Oryzias latipes: one gene and its partners. The protein of the gene in region 3 purifies or fractionates together with the protein of the main gene of each other region. This does not show direct contact. Links are inferred from orthologs where the notes say so. Each region holds a gene or a part of one and is shown on either strand. Other genes may lie near its edges.

Region 1 (4,205 bases), on a different chromosome or scaffold from region 3:
ACAAAACAGATAGTGTTCACACACATACTTATGCCTTAAAACCAACTAGTGTGAAATATTTCAGTCATTCAATCATGCAAGCTATTAGTGCAAAGGTGAGCTAACACCTGTGCTCAGGTGAGGTTTTATGTTCTTCTAAAATGGATGGTGGAATGTGAAAAGAAGGAGGAGGAGCGCCCAGCCACCCCCACACCCATACCCCCGCCGCAGCAGCAGCGGCAGCCGGAATTCCCCCAACGCCACACGGGAACCGGCAGGGAACAACCGCCGCCCGGGCGACCAAGCCCGCCACCCAGGCCAGGGCCAGCAGGGCCGCCGCAAGGCCCCCAGAGCCAGAGGCCAGGGAAGCACGGAGGGAAAGAGAGCGCCGCCCCAGCCCAACCAGGAGAGCATCCTGGTTGGGCTGGGCATGAATCCTTCTTCAGACTAAATTGGAACATTGTAAATTATAGACAGACAGACAGACAAAAAAGGTTTGAGATATAAAACAATGTTGTTGTTTTTTTAATTTGTCAGGTTTAAAAGACATTACAGAGCAGAAAAAAAATATTCAAACAAAAAATGTGATTATGGGGATTATTTAAATGAGTGCAAGGATGCAGATTTGCTTTGATGTGACATTTTTTATTTCAGTGAAACGCCACTGTTGTTTATCCAGAAAGACAGTTCTTCTTGAGTCACATTTGTCCTAAAGTTCTGTGGATAATCCAAATGTTCCTGTTGCTCACAGTGTGATTCTCCTTGAACTCTCCTATGGATCCATGTTTGTCCAAAAGTCTCTGTCTGGCCGTTAAATCATGGGTTCTAACCTGAACTGAGTCAATCGAGGGTCTGATCTTCTTTCCATCTTCTTATTCTGCTTCTTTTATGATTTTCTGTATGATTCTTCATCCAAACTGGTCACTTCTGGGAAATTGATAATGGCTCTTTCTAGGGAACTTAGGAGTATTAAATTATATCTTTATCCATTAAATTTATAACTGGGAGTATCACATAACTGTGCTAATTGGACCTGATGTGTCTGGAGACAAGTAGATGTTTGGCAATAAAAAAGTGGTTTATTATAAAATTAATTTGAAGAATTATGTGTGGAGACTTAAGGCTCATGTGTTTTTGCTTATTTTATTAAATAATTAACTAATTTTTATTAAAATTAGCCATAACCACAGCTTATAGATTTACAAAAAGACTTTAAGGTTCTCTTGTCCTTTTTTATTTCTTCATGCAGCAAAAAAGACAGTTGTCTCTTGAAAGCCTATGGAGTCCATCATCCTGTGGTATTCACACTATAACCAGATTTTTCCAGGTTCATCAGTTTACTCCCAATGTCAGATAACGGCTACCAAATTACCCAATTAACATGATCAATTGAATAATTTCATAACCCAGAACACACAAACCCCACACAAAAAGAAGTAAATAAATAAACGGCCATTGACAGCACCAAATACTGTATCGAATCTCTTGCAATTGCCTGTTTTTTCCTTTTTTTCCATTGCAGATACAAAATTAAAGCGGATGTGTTTATTCTCCAAGGTGAATAAAACTAATTATATGTTCGTCCTTCTAGTTAAATAAAATACAATAAAGTATATTTTGTGCAATTTTTAAACGGAATACTCGTCAGGCACAAGCTTGGACAGCTTAGCGCTTGGGGGTCCTCGCAGTTGTAGGCGCAGTTTCAAGCGAGCAGCAAAACACCGAGCGATTGTTTATTTTGTTTTGTTTACATCCTCCAAATAAATAAATGGCGTCCACTTTAATATCGCCCGTGGTGGATTATTACAACGACGAGGAGGAGCTCGACAGCGTGGATGACGACGATGATCGGAGCTTCAGGGGCAGAGACTCCGAAGAAGGTAACGTTAAATCAGTAGAACCTTTCTCTGTGGTTCGCGGGCTCCGTCTATTTATTGGAGAAGAAACGGAAATGCGCGGCCATTGCACATGTTTCGCTTGTTGTTCGTTGAAACAGCACCTACAGTTAAGTTAAGTTTGGGATTTGAAAATATATATTTTGGGTAAACATGTGAGGTTTGATTATTGAGCGTGAAAGTGGTAGAGTTTGTACTGCCTAGGCTTAGCTTCAAGCTAACATTTGGTTCCCGAATTGTTTTTTTTAAACAAAGGAAGGAAAACAAATAAAAATAATTGAGTAAAGTGACTTTATTAAAACAAATATATCAAATAATTAGCCACTAATAAATAATTAGAATGAGTCCCTTTTCTATCGCTATTTCCTAAAGGGTTGCCTTTTGTGGTGCATGAATGTTTATGCTCAAATGTCACATTTCTGCTCGAAAAAATTGGAATCGTCTAATAAAAGGGTTTAAGTGAGTGATTTGCAGAGTAAGTCACAGGAGTACCTCCCTCCCCTGCAGTTAGTTACCGCAGGATTTCAGTGCAATTCCCCGCAGCGTCCGTCCGCAGCGTTAATCAGCCGCCCTCCTACGTAACTTTAGCTCTGAGCGTTGACAGGTCGGCCTGCCTGCCGTGTCCACCGTTCTGCCCTTTCACACTCCGGTCAGGCGATCGCAGCGGAACCCGGCGCATCGAGGCGATGACAGCCCTGCCAGGTCTGCTTGTTTGGTGCTCCTGACCTCCAGAAGAACTGCGTAGCGTAGCTTTTATCTCCCCTTCTCTCCGCGCGCGCGCGTGTGTGCTGACGGTCCCGATCGCTCCGATCTCCTTGGAACAACTGTTGGAGCTAACTTTAGCTAGCCCTCAAAGCTAACTGAAACCGAAAGCGCTGCGTCAGCTTACGTGGGCCTCTCTGTCCGTGTCTTTTTCCCACGGGTTCACGAAGAAAACGGCACGTTTGTGAAGTCGATCGCGTCATCGTTGTGCTTCTGGGGGGGTAGAAACGTCCCGGCATCGCTCCGAGGGGGGTAGCCGCTGCTGGACCTGACAGACAGACAGCGGGAGCGCGGAGGATCAAAGCCCAGCAGCATGCGGCAAATGTTTGACTTTCACGCGGACATCTGCACCGTCATTCCTCCGCCTCGAACTTTAACTTTGTCCCTTTTGAGTTGAACTGACGTGAGGCTTAAAAACAAACGTGGATCTGACCTGGGGGGCATTCAGTATGACCTCACCGGAGCCCCCCAGGCTGGTCTGCAATAAGACCTGTGCTGTCTGTCTGTCTGTCTTTCCTTCCGGGGAGGGAGCCGCTGACATGATCAGATGGGTTTAAGTGAGTTCAAACTTCAACTCAGTCTCTTTGTCCCCCCCCCCCCCCCCCCCCCCCTCAAAGACACAGAAGATGCCAGTGAGACGGACCTGGCCAAGCATGACGAAGATGACTATGTGGAAATCAAAGAGCAGTAAGGGATTTGTGTCTTTGTGTGTACTAGTGTGTGTGTGCGTGGCCTGAGCCGAACCCTTATTTGTGGTTTTGTTTTCCTGACAGAATGTACCAAGACAAGCTGGCCTCGCTGAAGAGACAGCTGCAACAGTTACAAGAAGGTAAAGATGCAGGCCTGCACAGAACGCCATCATTTCAGAGTGCGTCATTAAAACCAAAGTATGTCTGAAGGGGTTTGTTTGTGGTAGGAAAGGTCTGCATGTTTTCCCAGATATCATTGCTCTACTGGTTACCTGGATCACCAGGTGTGTCTAGGATGTGCTGGAGAACAAATCCAGCCCTCAGGTGCCCCCCCTGGTTTTAGATCTGGCTTTTTTCTTAAAGCAAAGATGTGGGTGTAAACCAGAGATCTCCAACCTTTTTCAGGCCACAGATCGGTTTAAAATCAAACGGTATTTTCACGGACGGGGCTGAAGTGGGCCTCTGAGTTCTTTTATTGTTTTTTGCCTCCTGCTTTCTTTAGGTTTTGAGGGTAATGTTCATCTTCATCCTCTGTAAAATATCTGCTTTAAACTTAATTTGAACACTAGATTTCATGTAGGAACGATTAAAATGTGATCTAGAGTTTCCCTGAACCCACAGCCATCAAGGAGGAAGCTTAAAAACTCTGAACTCTTTAAACATTATTAAAAAAAACACTAATCCACTGTTTGAGTAAGTTTATTAGCAGCATCCTCATAACTTGCTGAATATTATTCATTATTATTATGGTCCATATTTGGATTTAAGACTGTTTTTTTCTGATAAATGCAGCTGTCCTTTATTTTGAAGTCCTCTTTTGTTTCTTCTCCGACTCTTTTCTCCCAAAAGAAACTATGAGTATGTTTGTTTTTGTCAACTT
Region 2 (4,020 bases), on a different chromosome or scaffold from region 3:
TGAATTTGACAGAACTTATTTTTTTGCAAATTCCGTATGTGGAAACCTCACTAACTGAAAATGTCAGCTAATAAAAAAAAAAAATTCTAAATAATTTAGCTTTAGTCTTCTTTACAGCTATTTCACACCGATAGGGCAACATTTTGTTTTACTGTGCAGATTTTATTGTTTATAAGTTAACATTTTTTATTAAAAGATATGCAACAATGTTGGCATCTTAAAGCTCAGAAGTAGCTCAGGAGCCGTGGCTCATGACCTTAGTGTTATCAGAACTATGAAAAAATATTAGACATGTTTCCTAAAAGGCTCAGAAATTTTATAAAAAGGTTTTTTTTGAGTGAAAATAAAAGCTAGAAACCATAAAAGCCCAAAAGTGCTGATAAAGTCAAAAACCTCCCTGTGAGGGGGAGGGTCTACTTTCCTCCTGCAACTTAGAAAATCAAGAAATTTCAAATAGTCTTTTTGTTATTTTGTTATGTTTTTAAAGAATTAAAGTCGTGAGATGAGAAATGAAAAACAAAAGTTGGTTTTATTTACAAATACAAACATGTACATACTCTGCATAATTACAATTATTTTACCAATACTGTTTGTTAACTGGTGGTGCTGATAGACTCTTTGACAGTGAATGCTGGTGAAGGTCCTATATGGGTCCAAATGTAGCCTTTTTCAGGACATATGGGGATAGTGGGAAACGGGGAGCTCTGGGACTTGAAATACTCAGAGGGTGCATGGCACACAAACTCAAGGTACTCCATCTTTCTGGGCAGATCTTCCTCTGGACCTGGAAAACAACACATGATGCTTAACCCAAGACCAGAAAATCACTTAAGAAATATGTTATTCTGTAGGAGTTCTCACCGACAATGTAAGTCCCAGGATCAAACCTGTCCTTTGGGCTGGCCTGGGTGGGAATGAGCCACGTTAGTGCTGCACTTTTTTCGCAGTACTGGTCCTGCACAAATCCTCGAATCTGAGCATAGTAGGGCTTCCCGTCATCCTCATCTATCACCTTGATCACATCACCTGTCTGGTAGTAAACCCCCTGTATTTGTGAAGAGATGTTAAAAGAAACAAAAACATAGACAGTAGTCGGCATGCAACCTTCAACGCTAAAAGTGCCATTTGGGTCGATTTCTCACTGAACCCAACAGAATCCACAAAATCTCACTTCACCCTTAAAAATATTTATTGATGTCATTATTATTATTATGATAAATATAAATGAACTGTTGCTTTTTTGGGCAGAAATCAAACAAACAAAGATAAAATAGCCTTTTTAAAACAAATGAAACAGTTTAAACTTTTGACAGAAGTTCACATGAATTCCTTTCAAAATAAAAGACAGCCGGTGTCATATAGAATCATCTCAATGCAATAAGGGTATTGGCGTATTGTTAGCAGTGATAAAAAACAAAACAAAAACAACACATTATTTTATCGCTTGTGGTGAATCTCAGCCATAAATGTGTAAATCCTAACCAACCATAATTAAATCAGAGCTAATTAAGTGAACCTTACCATATTTTTCAAACGTAAACAAATTTAAAATCATTCAATTTGTTCAAAAATCCTCCCTAATTGTGCTTACTGACCTCCAATTGATTTTCTGCAGTACACTGCGCTAAAAAAAACTGTCAAAAATGTTTTTGATATGTACTGTCCTTCAACTGTTTGTGGATGAGTTGAATAAAGTTTGTGTAAGTTTACTTTCCTACTTATTTATAATTATTTTTTACATTACAGTTATATTTTAAAATCACAACGTTATTTTTCTTTAATCAGAGAGCCACAGTGGAGGGGTAAAAGAGCAACCTGTGGCCCCGGAGCCACAGGTTGCAGACCAACAGTATAACACGGACAAACAAATGATTGGAATAATAATCACAATACCTTATAAAATACAGATTCTGAAGTGACGATCGTTGCTACAGATTCAGGAGCTTTGATTGGCTGTGGGGAAGAGTTTACAGGTTAAAATAAAAGATGACAGGAAGAATGATTTTTGGTTATTTTTTTTAACTGACATTTTTTAGTTTGAAAATATGTCTCCTTCCTTTTCCTTTTGTTGACACTTTCTTCTCAGAAGCAGGAGCTTTGTATTTGGTACTTCTCAGCCGCGCAGACCTCCGGTGTATCTCCTGCTTGGACTACAAAGAAACAGACGTGGTTTGATGCTGAGCAAAGGAGAAGTTGCTGGGAGTTTGAGTCCTCCTTTGACTGACTGACCTGCTTCCCTCCGCCATTACTGGGCTGAGCGCTGAATGACATGGAAGGTCCTGCCGCCGTGGCGCTGCTGCTCTTCCCCGTGCAGTTATTGCACAGGATCTCCCCTTGGCTTCCCTTTTTCCACATGGAGGAAGAGTTCGTCTTACACGCAGCACAACACGGTTTCAAACCAAGCGGCATTTTTTTTTTTTTCAGGAAAACGACGCCGACGTAGTACGAAGGAAACTAGAGGAAGATGCTCGATTCACCCTAAAAATGCTAACAACTACTCACTAATCTTTGTTCAGCAGATGTCACAAAATGTCTGGTCTTCCGAGAGATCAATTGCAAACATTTGTCCAAAATAACTGCCATCCATTGTAGCAATTAAACGTAGTCGCTCAACTATTGTTTTTACCGGATATTAGCTTCGCTCTTTGTCTGCAATTTAGGTTCGGTCGGTTAACCGTCTAATTTTTGCGCTACCGCCACCTAGTGGACACGTGTGAAGCACAGTCCGATTTGTCTAACTTTTTAGTTATAGTGCTTGTGAAACTGAATAAAAACTGCATTTTAAAAACTATTTTTCGTCCAAAATAAAAATTTACAAGTAGATTTAATTTATGCTGCAAACATTTTACAGAGCTTTGATTAACTTAAATCCAGTTTTTCCACAATTTGCTGTCTAGTAGGGGTGTAACGATTTACTTTTACAAAAATGTAATTCATGACATTTTTAGTTGCTGCAGTGATCCGATTCACTGACCTAAAATGGATCCAGGAAAGCTAAAACTTGTACCAGTGTCACTCAGAGAGAAATACCTGGGTACCGGACAGTGCAAATGAAGTTTTCCAGGTTCCTTGAATTTCTTGCAAGCTAATAGAGTGTAAATAAATTTGTGTGCAAACAAACAAGTAAACAAGAATTTATGAAAAATCCATTCACATTTTAGTTTTCTAAAGTTTAGCCCACTTTTGTTTTTTCCAAATTAAAATAATACAAAGGGACTATTATTATAACATTCTACCATACTGTATGGTCACATGTCTTTGCTAAATTTATAAGTGTTTCCATACAATAGACTGGAATGACTGACTGATCAGTTTTTGCTGACATCATATCTAGCTTTTACTAGATAGATAGATAGATAGATAGATAGATAGATAGATAGATAGATAGATAGATAGATAGATAGATAGATAGATAGATAGATAGATAGATAGATAGATAGATAGATAGATAGATAGATAGATAGATAGATAGATAGATAGATAGATAGATAGATAGATAACTTTATTAATCCAACAATGGGGAAATTTCATTTATCTGTGGCAGCAAAAACGACATTCAGAAATAATCTATATAATATAACATCAAAAAAGGACATCACAAATGACATTCATATTAAATAGTTAAAATTATTATTACAATTATTAGGAAAATTATTATCAAAAATGAGATTCTTATTAAATAAATAAATATTAAATAAATACAGCTGCAAAAGTGTATAAAACATGTGGTCTGCAAAACATGTAATCAACTGTAAAAAACATGTAAAAACTTTTTTTTTTTTTTTTTCAAAATACAGAAATAAGTAATGAAGTTCACACCAAAAACAAAGAACTGTTCAGGAACAAAAACAATTGAAAATTGAAAAACAACAACTACAACAAAAGAAAATGAATAAATTAAGAAAATAAATAAAGTGAAATAATTACATATCGATTTATTGCGTTTTAAAATGATTTAATAATAGTATTGGCCGATTTGATTGACAACTTTCTATGTAACAGATTACGGGCTGTGACAAA
Region 3 (3,513 bases):
ATGGCCTTTTTTGATTTAAATCAAAGAAAAGGTTAAAGGTGCACATTTTCATCTTATCGAGCTTTAGGTCAAATCTTGTAATGGGGGGTCCTTTCGTATGCAAACACACCTTCCTTTCTCTTAATTCTGTGTTTTGCTGTCATTAAATACATCAGACCCTGCAGTGAATAAACGCGACTTTTTCCCCCTTAGGTTTGGTTTTTACTCAGATTAACTGTAGAATACGTTTACAGTTTAACATTGAAATCCTTCTGATTGAAGAATAGACAACTGTTAGAAACCAGGAAAAAAAACACAACATGTCAAGCCAGGGCCGGTTAATACTTCAACAAAGCCTCATCAACAAGAATAAAGTAATTCAGAGTTAGTAAAGGGGTCCAGTCAGATGAAGCTACACAAACACAGGGGTTAGTGGGACAGAAAGGAACAACAGTTCCAAGGTAAAATGTTCATTCTGTGCCACTTTGCATTCTTTAAACACTGATAAAGCTATGAAATGAATCGATTGTGTTTCAACATCACACAATAAAGGCAAACTGCAGCATTTCTCACTATTTAAATCAAGCTTTCTTCTTAACTGAAGCATTTTGTCACTTTTGGCCGGCGTCGTTTGGACAAATGCGTCCATAAGAAGCACGAGCATACCTTCAGCAGAGGAGACATGTGCTGCAGGAGGACGGGCCGGGGCCTCTTCTTGTTCTGTTTGCTTGATACATCGTCTTCCTCAGACTTTTTCAGCGGCTCTTTGCTCCCCGTCAGCGAACTCCCCGTGAACTAAATTAGCAAAAGAAGAAGTAAATATCAGCAGAGACATTCTGAAAAGCAAATACAGCTAGTCTGTCTCCATTGGAGAAGCCGGACAAACCGGAAAAACCAGGTTCGTTTGTGACTCTTCACTTATTTCATTAAGGTTAGAAGTTCACATGCTGGAGCTTCACTGACCAGAGATCTCTTAGCATCGGGTAAGAACTGTCCAAACTCAGCCAGAAGATCCTCCTGCCCCTTAAAAAGGCTGGCCACTTTGGAAAAGACTTCGTCTTCAGTCATGCCGCTGCTGCCCCGACTCTCCTTGGCTTCCAGCTGCTCCTTCTGCAAAGTGACGGGGGAAACCGTGTTGACATGGAGCCAAAGGGGGAAACACTCTTTCTTTTAAAGAACAATCACATCTACAGTTATCAATATCTTGTAAAACAGCCGTTTTGATGCAATAGTGATGAATGGCGTGCATTCTGACACATCCACCCCATGACACACGTTTCAGGAATAAAACGGCCAACAAGCCGCTGCAGTCTCGTCTGTACACTGTGATAAATGTAAAACGTTTCAGTTATGGAGCTGGAAATCTGCTTCCTAATCAGCCAGTTTTTACCTGATAGGTGTGGAGGATTTCTAGGAAGGCTCTATAAATCTCTGGGTGGTCCAGAAAACGGTTTTTAATCTTGTTAACATAGCTGATGGCACTGTCAAACTCAACAGGACTGGTCTCTGACGCCGGCGGGGACACCGAGGAGACGGCGGCCGGATTGTGGCTCTCTTTAGTCAGGGGGAGAGAAAGTCTGCTGGGGGGCTCTGCGGGTCCCGTCGAGCTGGACGACAGGGAATCGGACGAAGGCGCCTTGACTTCACTGGTCTGGACCGGTCCAGCTTCAGCGTGGACCGTGGAGGCGGGGCCTGAGGACGAGCCCACTGCAGGAGGGGTCAGATTTTTAGTGTGCTGTCCCGGAGACACCTGCATGGGTGGACAGGGGGGGTGGACAGGGGGGGCAAACAGTGCATGAGACATTAAAGAAATGAAATGTTAAAGAACATGAAACATAATTACATCGGCTCTGAAATAAAGTGGATTTTTTAAAGCAAAAGAATTCAAACTCCATAAATTAAAAATAACACTGATTTGAGCTTTTTATTAAGCAGCTTTAGCTCCAATAATCCACAGTTTAATACAACAATCTGGTTTTACAGCACAATGGAGAGCTTTTAGATTTTCTTTAAGCACTTTGTAAATAAATGCAAACATTTATAGGCAAAAAGGAGCAGAAAAAAGTGTCTTTTTAGATTTTCATATGCAATAACAGCGCTATGAGGTCATCCAATAAGCTCTCAAATTTGCAACATTTTGTGTGAGAAACATGAAACGATTAAGTTTAGCAAAGACGATCATGATTCAAATCAATTGGAATATTATTGAAAGTGTATAGATTTCAAAAACTGAAGTGACAAAATGATTAAATGATTTCCAAAATCCATAAACTCCACCATGGGATGCATCTAAAATCAGAATCTTCTCTGACAGTTTGTCATTCTGGGAAACATCCGACAGCAACGTTACATTCAGAGGATTCAGTTCCAGGTTCATCAAAAGTGCAAATAAGCCCACAAAGAGACATTATTCCACACAAAGTTTAAATAACAAATACATCTGCAGCTCATGTGGGTCAAACGCACTAATACAATCTGATGGCAGCAAACTCTCCAAAGTTTGGCCGCGTTTTGTGAATAACCATCACTCAGACATCAGTTTTCTCTCAAAAACACACTATGATAAAACAAAATGTTGTTTTTAACCTGTTCTGCTGATGGAGGAGAAACAGAAAGAATAAGTAAATAAATAAATAAAGACAAAATAAAAAGCCTATAGTTGTTACGTGTAAGGGTCAATGGCCGACGAAGTGTGCATTATCACTTTTTAACGCACACCGTGGAAGCCTGGGTGCTTCCGCGAAGTGCGTTAGTTCTGATAATGAACACTTCAAAGGCCATTAACCCGCTTATACCATGGTCACTTACAAAAGCAATAAATAGTAACCTGTTTTTGGTACTTAATTCTTGTTTTTTGTTCCGATTTGGATCACTTTTCTCACAAAAAGCGGACTATTTGTTCGCGCCGCATCACTGCTGCAGTCAAGATTCGGCGATATATATCTATGCTGATCTTCCCGATGGGTTGAATAAAGCATCAGTTCAGAGAGAAAGTTCACTTTTTACCGCTTGTTTTTGTCCAAATGATGAAGCAAAAGGTTGTTTTAAAGAAGCCGGCGTAGTGATACAGAACATTTAAGCTAGGTGACCGGAACTTCTTTTTTCACCGTGCAGTTATCCTGTGGTATATCACTTTTTAATGCACACCCAGCAGCCAATCAGATTCAAGTATTCACCCGGGCCATGGTATAAAAAAACTACAATGGACAGCCTCCAGCCCCCGCTCCATTCTGATCCTCCACCTGCAGACCAACAGATCCATGATCTTCTTTGTTTTCCTGGTCTGAGCTGGAATCTGGATCAGAACTGGACGGCTGGATGGATCTGATCACTGTTTTTGTTGCACTGCTAATGCTAGGTTGGGGGTGTGAGGGGCAGTAAGCTAGTGGGAGAGGGTGTAAACTGTAAACAGATGATGGGAAGGAGGACTGGCTTTCACCACGCCAACGGTCCCGCCCACAACGCCGCTCTACAGGAACTATGTCCAAGAAAATGACTGGTTTAGTTTAGCCGTTACCTATTGATTCTATGACT
Region 4 (4,102 bases), on a different chromosome or scaffold from region 3:
TAAAATATGCAAGCAATGAGACGAATGTTACGGTGCAGAAGAGATGTGTGGGATCTCCTCTTATTGCTACAGAGCACCGCTAGAACTCTGGTATGACCGGAATGTCTGCAGGTCAAAAATTACATAAAATGCTATTAGAGCTTTGTTAAACACCCAACAAACATTGTTTTGATGTAACATTTTTCACACAGTGGAGGATTTATATAAAGAAAATTAGGACTCAAATTGCACATCTGAGTATTACTTTATTTAAATCAATGTGAATCATGAGCAGACAAAAAAAATGCTGTTGATGAAAGTCTGTCGTTGTGTACAAACTACAATAGCTGGGGCCACAAGCACCCTGCTCCGCTCCATTCTGATGCATCCACTTGCACAGCTGTACAGCTGGATATCTGTTACTGCTCGTCATTTTTATTGCACCAGTAATGTTAGGTTGGGGGTGTGAGGGGCTAGTGGGAGACCATGTAAACACAGATCATGGGAAATGAGCACAGTCTCACTCCAAGTCAACAGACCAGCCCACAACTTAGACACTAATTTCTGACGAACTCCTGCTGCTCTGCAGAAACTATGTCCTAGAAAGTTACAGGCTTTTTGGATTTGGGGCAAAAGTGGTGCAATGATAATTAAAAGACCACTGGGAACACTTTAAAAACAGATGATTGGAGCTACAAGAGCAGATAGACGATCCCTTCAAGTTTTACGTCCCTTTTCCAGTATTATTTAAAGCCAAACACATAAAATAAGACCATAATAATATTTTGTACATCATTGCAGAACAATAACATCCAATCATATTCATGTCGGCCTCACATTCATCTTCACAACTCTAACAAGGACCAACACTCAGCATTCAAATCTCTAAACACAAAACACAGCAGAGAGAAAAGTTTCAGTTTTTTTGAAGTGAGGAACTCTACTTTGTGCATAGGTCTGCTTTTAAACCTCTTCCTCATGCAGGCTGAGGAGTGAGGAGCCTGGCGTTTTGCAGAATATCTAGATGACAGGAAGCGGCGGAATGAATGAGCCTACCTTCATCTCCGTGGGTCCTCCGCGCGAGCACAGCCACAAATCCGGGGCTGAAAACAGAGGATCCGGTTAGCCATGAGACAAGCAAGGAGCCAGTTTCAGTCTGTCACAACAAGATGTTATGATGACATCACTGATGGATGAAACGGCGGGCGCGCGTGCACAGCTTCCTCGTGCTTTTGTTTGAACCTGCTCAGATCAGACTGGGTCTAGATAGAACCAGGGTGTGTGTGTGTTTTCCAACGGGCGGATCGAGCCCTTTAAGGCGTTTATGTAACGCTGCCGTACCGCCGCCTGTCACACTCCGAGCGGTCAAAGGCGCGGATGGCGATCGGGACGACGCGGTTGGAGCCCCCCGGACCGCCGTCTGCGCCGCACCGACTACACCACCAGCCGTTCAGCAGGGGGATGACGCCATTTCTGAGCCGAAATGTGCTCCGCGATATTGACGCCTCTTCACCGAGCCGTTTTCCTCCGGGACTCGGACTTCTTTCTTCTTGTTCGCCTTCCGCTTCTCCAGAAACAGCGTCTCCGCAGACGCAGAATCATGAGCTGTGTCGCAATGTCCAACCATAAGTTGAATAAAGTGCGACTCGGCGGCGGTGACACGTTAAAAAAAGTCTCCCCCGAAAACATGTCAGCAGCTGAGCTACCGGGCTGGCGGTTCCGCTCCCGACAAAGAAAGAAAGTCGACGAAACGGTTCGCAACAAGGTCAAGCTCGGTCTGCGCCGCTGCAACGTCGCCTTCATTTAAAATTATTTTTTTAAACGTGTATTTTTGTAAGGAGCCAAGGTCGAAGCCCCCGTTTTGTGGCTCCGGAATACCGCGGAGGATACAATGTCATCCGCCCCAGACGGTGACCGACCACCGACAACCGACAACCGCCTCGAAACACGGGAATCCATTTAAACCCGAGTCCTCAACGATTTCTGTCCGGTCAGTCTGTTAACGCGATGCTACGGAGATATGTTAAAAGAAAAAATAAAACTAAACACAACAATAGTGCTCACATGAACCGGGATTAGATCTGTCAGGCGGAGGAAACCATCCGCGGAACCGACTTGACGACAGATAAACGAGTCCAGGAGCTACTGGACAAGTCGATCGCGAAGAGCGGAGGACTGCACAAAAGAAACGACTGACAATGCAATTTACCTGATAAACTACACCGTTGGCGCGGCGGTTAAAACCCCCCATCCCGCAGCCGCGTCGAAGCGGTCCGGGCCACACACACAAAAAAACGGGTCCGAATAATCTCACTTCCCCGTCGGTCGGTGGGAGAACACCGTGACAAGCGGCGCAACGACGAGGATTCCTCTGCTTCGGTCCCGCCGCGTAGCGGAGCTGTTCTCTGCGTTCAACCGGGAGGCTAACCATACAACTTTGTTGTCAAGTTTTTTTTCCTTTTTTCTTCTTCTTCTATTTTCCAAATGATCTGCGGCCCGGTCAACTTACTCATTCATTCCCCCCCGAAGAACATTATTAGTTAACAAGTTAGCTAACGTCACGGTCGACTTGGGTAGCAGCAGGGAAACATGCTAGAAAAAAATGTTGAAAATACCGAACAAAAGCCGACTTACCGACGCTGTCAAGTTGATAAACTCCGATTTTTCGACAAAAGCGTGTTAATAATCCATAGGAACATTTATGGAGGCAGGGAGTCCGGTTTTAACGTCGTCTGTTAGCCCCTGGTTGATGTTGGATGCGGATTGATAAAAGTGCTTTTCGCAGAGCTGCTGTTTGCCTTGTTGAGTGGCTCATAGGTCTCTCCGTGATCCCCCCTCCCCTCTCCTGAGAATGATTGACAGGCCAAACGTTCCCGCCTTACGCGAATATCTGTTCTCTGATTGGATAAAAAAGTATAATTGCACATCTTCGTGGTCCGTGATTGGCTCCTCTGGGAGAAAAAATATCTACAGTGATACTGAGTGGCTCTGACGAAGCAGGGCAAAAACTACAAAACCCAGATTTACTAAATCCATGTACGTTCGATTTGTATTACAGAGTGTCCCGATTATCATTAAAGTGCTGTTTACATTGACTCAGTGAGGTGTCGCTTTCATCCGGCAGTGGATATTTTCTAATGAAACAATCACTCAGTAAGGAAACCCCGGTTAGACGTCAGCCACCATTCTGCGCCTGCTCTGTAGTTTGACCGCAGCTTATAAAGCTAGCTCTTTCAAGGCAGCTCGACTGGTAACTGTCTGTACAATGCGCCATTGTAACATTAAAAGCTTAGCATAGCATAGCATCGAGCGGATATAGGCAGGCACCTAAAATGAGCTCAGCGCGTGAATGTGGAGACAATATCGAGAGCTCCGAATAACGCAGACGTTCATTTTTGAAGAAAGTGGGAGATAATAAGAAGTCATCGGTGACACAGCGGGATATTTATGTGGGTCCGCTAAGGCTAGCTAGCTAGGAGCGTGGCTAACCGGAATTCACGAGCGGCTTGTCAGCAACTGATAGGTGGGTGGGGTCAAGAGCACACAGAGTGTCCCAGCAGTGTTCACTGTAATGTGTTTTGTTTTTATTCATAGGGTGACATTTGATAACGTGTTTGTACGAGAAAGTGTTCTGTGATGATGGAAAAAAACTACAACTTAATGGAAAATCAGTTAAAAAATAAATTTACATCTCAAAATAAAATGTCAAAATCACTTTCACTGTTTAAATCAATCCTGTTAAATGACTTCTTCTTGATGCCAACTAGATCTTTGTTTTTAGTTCTTCTACTCTGATGTAATAAACTAATTTATTGCCAACAGTCGTGTGATTAAACGGCTAAACTGGATGCTTATACAAGTCTAGTCATGTCAAATGTGCTGCTTGTTCATGTTTTCCCCTCAACGAAATAACATTTTTATTGAATGCATTCTCAGAAATGCCTTATGTGTGTAACGTTTATGCTTAGTCTTCTATATTTTTAACGTATGTCAGGAATGAATCCTCGTTTGCCCCTACAGTTCCGTGTAAACCTAACAGAATATTTTAGATCAGTATACAGACCGCAGTAATGTGCAGAGTAGGATTTTTGTTTTGTTGGTTTTGAACTAAATCGACAATGAA
Region 5 (3,513 bases), on a different chromosome or scaffold from region 3:
TGACTTTTACTTGGGTTCACTTTTGTTAGTTTGTTTACTTTTATCCCTGTTTTACTGGAATTTACCTGCTTTAGACTCCCTGTGCCACTCTGTCTCTGATTCTGTATTGTTTTAACATCGTGAAGCACTTTGTGAGTCTTTCTGTGAGAAAGTGCTCTATAAATAAAGATTTACTTACTTTACTTTCATAAAAAATAGTTATTTTTGTTGTATTTTTGTAGTTTATAGGCCTTTTCCCCTGATGTCTCCACATAATATTAATTGCTTGTAAATTAAATCTTACATTTTTTTTTTAAGTTTTAAAAATCTTTTTCAAAAAACATGTTTTTCCACAAATTTTATTAAAACATTTAGCAGCTAATAGGCAGGTCAACATGTTTTCTATAATGTAACTATGATAATAATGGTGATAAATGTAGTTTTTCTATGAGACGGAAAAAAGTAAACAGGTGACTACAAAACATTTAGCATTAACAAGTTTTTTAAGACAGCTTTTATACTTTAATGTTTTGAAGGTTCTTTTTAGATAAAGTTTAAAAAAAGTCATTACAAAAGTCTGAATAAGACACAGAACTGTAATATCCAGACCTTTTTTGTTCTTCTGGTCTGCAGATAAGGCCTCTGCCACCCTTTTTGCCCAGGTATCATAGGACTGCGCCCGAGCCTTTACCCCGTACAGCATGGAAGGGAACTCCTCCAAGTCATAACGATAGCTAAGGCAGGGATTTAAGAGAGCAAGTCATTCAAAAAAGAAAGGGAGGGTTTGTTTTTTTATGTTCTCGTGGCTTCAATAAGACAAGGTCGCACCGCAGACATGCGTTTCCAAGAGGACAGTCACACAGATCTCCAGCGTGATGGAGACACACCAGCCTGGTGGGGCTGCAGGAGCAGGTCAGTGCAGACAGGAAGCAGGTGGTCTTACACTTGTGGCACTGCCGCTCGTCGTCTGGAACAAGCTCAAAAAATTCCTGTTCCGAGGACAGCACCCCCTGAAAAATAAAAATAAAACAACAGACCAATGAGGTTGGATTTTAGGCTACATTCAAACGCAAATGTCTATTTGTAATGTTAATTCAATGAACAGTCCATTTTGAGCGTCGCAATTCTTCTATCAGCAGCACATTTTGGGTTGAGCGGCGAAAATTCGGACAAGTGGCAAAAGTTTCCAGAGTTTAAATATCTAAACTTCAGTGAAGCTTCACCTCACATGAACCAATCAGGGACTCCGTTTTGGTCTGTGTTCTTATTCGTATCGACACATAAAAGAAATCATTTTAAAAATCCTCCAATTTTATTGATATTTTTTTACCCTCATTGGACTAATGCGAGACAGCAAGACATCAAACTGGATCACAGAGAGATAGAATTACTACTAAAGCCTATTTTAAACACATTTCCTGCACTAGATGGTGAACCTCACCGTACTGGGAGTCTCTGAATGACCTCATGAACCTCGACGTGATTACCGATGTTTTTGGAGAGCTCTTCAAAATAAATAAAACCTGATCTCTCGACATCATCCGTGTCTTCCATGATTTAGCAATGAGGCTAAAAACGTTTGGGGGTAGCTCCTCCCACACATTGCAAAGTGGCAGATTGATGAAGACACTTTTAGACGAGCGTCGACTATCACGCACAAATGGCGTTCAGTGGGAACGGATCATTGAGAACGCTAGGGTTACCGCAAAGTCAGAACCACCAGAAAGGTGATGGTTACCATTTCCTGCATAGCCTGCCGGAGTTTGCTCTCCTCCTCCATCATGTCACTCATCTCCTTGTAAACAGCAGCGGCCAGCTCCACGTCCAGGCTCTCTGGGTCGGCGGCCATCTTGCAGAGCAACTCTTCGTGGGAGAAGACGCAGTAGCGGTGAAGGCGGCGGTAATGAGCAACACACTGGCGTCCCATCGGCAACTACGACGCACAATTGAAACATTAAAAAAAGCCTTAATCCACAGAAATAGAAAAACCTCTGATGTGATTTATGAGTTGTTCGTCTCTCGTCACCCAGTCGGCTGTGCAGAAATTGACCGCTTCCGCAAAGTTGTAGCCTTGATTGAAGCCGCTGTGGTAAGCTCTGGGGAAGGTGACCACAAACTCGCCCGCACACTGATTGGTCCTGTAAACCTGCACATCGGGAGAAACTGGTCATAACCTGGACTCCACGATCAGCCCTTTAGGTCGAACCCCCAAGCTGTGGCCGCGTACGGGAACGCCGTGCTCCATGAGGACGTTGGGGTTCATGGTGGTGACCAGCTGGTGGAGGAGGTCGGGCTGGGAGTCGAACAGCTCGGGCGCCACCTTTTTCATCACAGCTTCAAGTTTCTCTGCGGCAGCGGCCGGCACGCCATACCACGTCTTGGGTTCACCCCTTAACAGCAGAAGAAGCAAAAGCAGTTTTACAAAGTTCAAAAAGATAAAGAAAACTAAGCATTATGCTAAAACCACACCCAATGAAACTTGCGTTTCAAATTGTCAAATTATGCTGCCTCTCTTTGGACTTGCAACAAAATTTCTCCTGCGTGCTTCTCCGATAACGTGTTCAGAAACTTGACATAAACTTAAAAATTCTTAATTTGATCCCAACATGGGAGCATTTATCTATTTTAAAAAGGTCTATAAAAGCATCAATTAGCACATCTGGGTTCATGAGATCATTCAGAGACTCTCCCAGTGCGGCGAGGTTCATCATCTGAATGACGGCTGCTTTCAGCGGTACTTCCGTCTGTCTGTGACCCGGTTGGACAGCTTGCTGTTAGTCAGAGGAATAACTTTTTCGGATCGTTTTGATGCAAATATAAAAAATATCATAAAGTTCATGAGGAGAACAATCAGATCCTCCATCGTGTTTGTTTTTGGATTCCGCTCACTGATCACATCATCAACCGGTCACGGGCCAAAGCTGAGCAACGAGTCTTCTTCGCCAAAGTTCAGATATGTCTGTTTTCATGACGTCCCTTAAGGTGGCTCCATGAGCCACAAGAGACCTCCAAGACACACCTATGCTCCTCTTCAGATGCAGCACCTCCCTCTCTGCAACCCTCCATGGGTCCAGACAACCAAAAACCTGCAGCATCTGTACGGGACAACATACGGGGGGGGAGGGGGCGCATTTAATTAAGCCTACAGGAGTTCTGAAAAATCCATTTACAAACTCTTGGAGGAGCACAGATGATTTGGAAGATATGAGAAGATCGTTCTGCTTCCCACAGCTTCGCAGATGTTGGATGTTTTGAAGTGCGGACAAACTCGTGATCTTTGGTTCTACGTGCTTTGCACACGTTTGCACCTCAGACTACAGGCGAACGTTTAAAAACATGGCAAGAAGACAGGGTCGCTTCTCACCAACGAAGTCTTGAAGTTAAATCCTGTTTCCCCATTCATCTAAGCAGAAGTCTTTAAGTCCAGATGGCCAACGTCAAGAAGACGTCACCTGAATGGAGGAGAACCTTCATCGACCTACCAATGAAGGAAGTTGATGGAGTAACTCCAGTGGTCCTCGATGTGCCAGCAGA

Evidence for each region.
Region 1: the proteins of sin3b (region 3) and suds3 purify together in Homo sapiens (affinity purification with mass spectrometry; 3 studies listed by BioGRID and IntAct, counting the BioPlex papers as one, with this or other methods). This does not show direct contact. The link is inferred for Oryzias latipes from reciprocal best matches to the Homo sapiens genes SIN3B and SUDS3.
Region 2: the proteins of sin3b (region 3) and gatad1 purify together in Homo sapiens (affinity purification with mass spectrometry; 5 studies listed by BioGRID and IntAct, with this or other methods). This does not show direct contact. The link is inferred for Oryzias latipes from reciprocal best matches to the Homo sapiens genes SIN3B and GATAD1.
Region 4: the proteins of sin3b (region 3) and arid4b purify together in Homo sapiens (affinity purification with mass spectrometry; 3 studies listed by BioGRID and IntAct, with this or other methods). This does not show direct contact. The link is inferred for Oryzias latipes from reciprocal best matches to the Homo sapiens genes SIN3B and ARID4B.
Region 5: the proteins of sin3b (region 3) and kdm5a purify together in Homo sapiens (affinity purification with mass spectrometry; 4 studies listed by BioGRID and IntAct, with this or other methods). This does not show direct contact. The link is inferred for Oryzias latipes from reciprocal best matches to the Homo sapiens genes SIN3B and KDM5A.

What each region holds. Positions count from the first base shown.
Region 1 is NC_019867.2:3,527,030-3,531,234, forward strand, and holds the start of suds3 (sin3 histone deacetylase corepressor complex component SDS3), read left to right. Parts: upstream 1-1,393; 5' UTR 1,394-1,747; coding exon 1,748-1,859; intron 1,860-2,463; exon of another isoform or gene 2,464-2,560; coding exon of another isoform or gene 2,561-2,576; intron 2,577-3,253; coding exon 3,254-3,323; intron 3,324-3,409; coding exon 3,410-3,465; intron 3,466-4,205.
Region 2 is NC_019869.2:23,121,617-23,125,636, forward strand, and holds gatad1 (GATA zinc finger domain-containing protein 1), read right to left. Parts: upstream 2,681-4,020; 5' UTR 2,584-2,680; coding exon 2,503-2,583; exon of another isoform or gene 2,410-2,502; coding exon of another isoform or gene 2,344-2,409; coding exon 2,230-2,343; intron 2,151-2,229; coding exon 2,028-2,150; intron 1,954-2,027; coding exon 1,894-1,953; intron 1,046-1,893; coding exon 862-1,045; intron 785-861; coding exon 594-784; 3' UTR 510-593; downstream 1-509. UniProt on the Homo sapiens protein: Component of some chromatin complex recruited to chromatin sites methylated 'Lys-4' of histone H3 (H3K4me), with a preference for trimethylated form (H3K4me3).
Region 3 is NC_019862.2:32,325,047-32,328,559, forward strand, and holds part of sin3b (paired amphipathic helix protein Sin3b), read right to left. Parts: intron 1,730-3,513; coding exon 1,370-1,729; intron 1,090-1,369; coding exon 943-1,089; intron 775-942; coding exon 646-774; intron 1-645.
Region 4 is NC_019873.2:28,248,715-28,252,816, forward strand, and holds the start of arid4b (AT-rich interactive domain-containing protein 4B), read right to left. Parts: upstream 2,809-4,102; 5' UTR 2,614-2,808; intron 2,286-2,613; exon of another isoform or gene 2,189-2,285; intron 2,164-2,188; exon of another isoform or gene 2,044-2,163; intron 1,970-2,043; exon of another isoform or gene 1,183-1,969; intron 1,083-1,182; 5' UTR 1,042-1,082; coding exon 1,036-1,041; intron 1-1,035. UniProt on the Homo sapiens protein: Acts as a transcriptional repressor. May function in the assembly and/or enzymatic activity of the Sin3A corepressor complex or in mediating interactions between the complex and other regulatory complexes.
Region 5 is NC_019881.2:6,886,965-6,890,477, reverse strand, and holds part of kdm5a (lysine-specific demethylase 5A), read right to left. Parts: coding exon 3,462-3,513; intron 2,370-3,461; coding exon 2,207-2,369; intron 2,126-2,206; coding exon 2,006-2,125; intron 1,913-2,005; coding exon 1,718-1,912; intron 990-1,717; coding exon 808-989; intron 714-807; coding exon 589-713; intron 1-588. UniProt on the Homo sapiens protein: Histone demethylase that specifically demethylates 'Lys-4' of histone H3, thereby playing a central role in histone code. Does not demethylate histone H3 'Lys-9', H3 'Lys-27', H3 'Lys-36', H3 'Lys-79' or H4 'Lys-20'.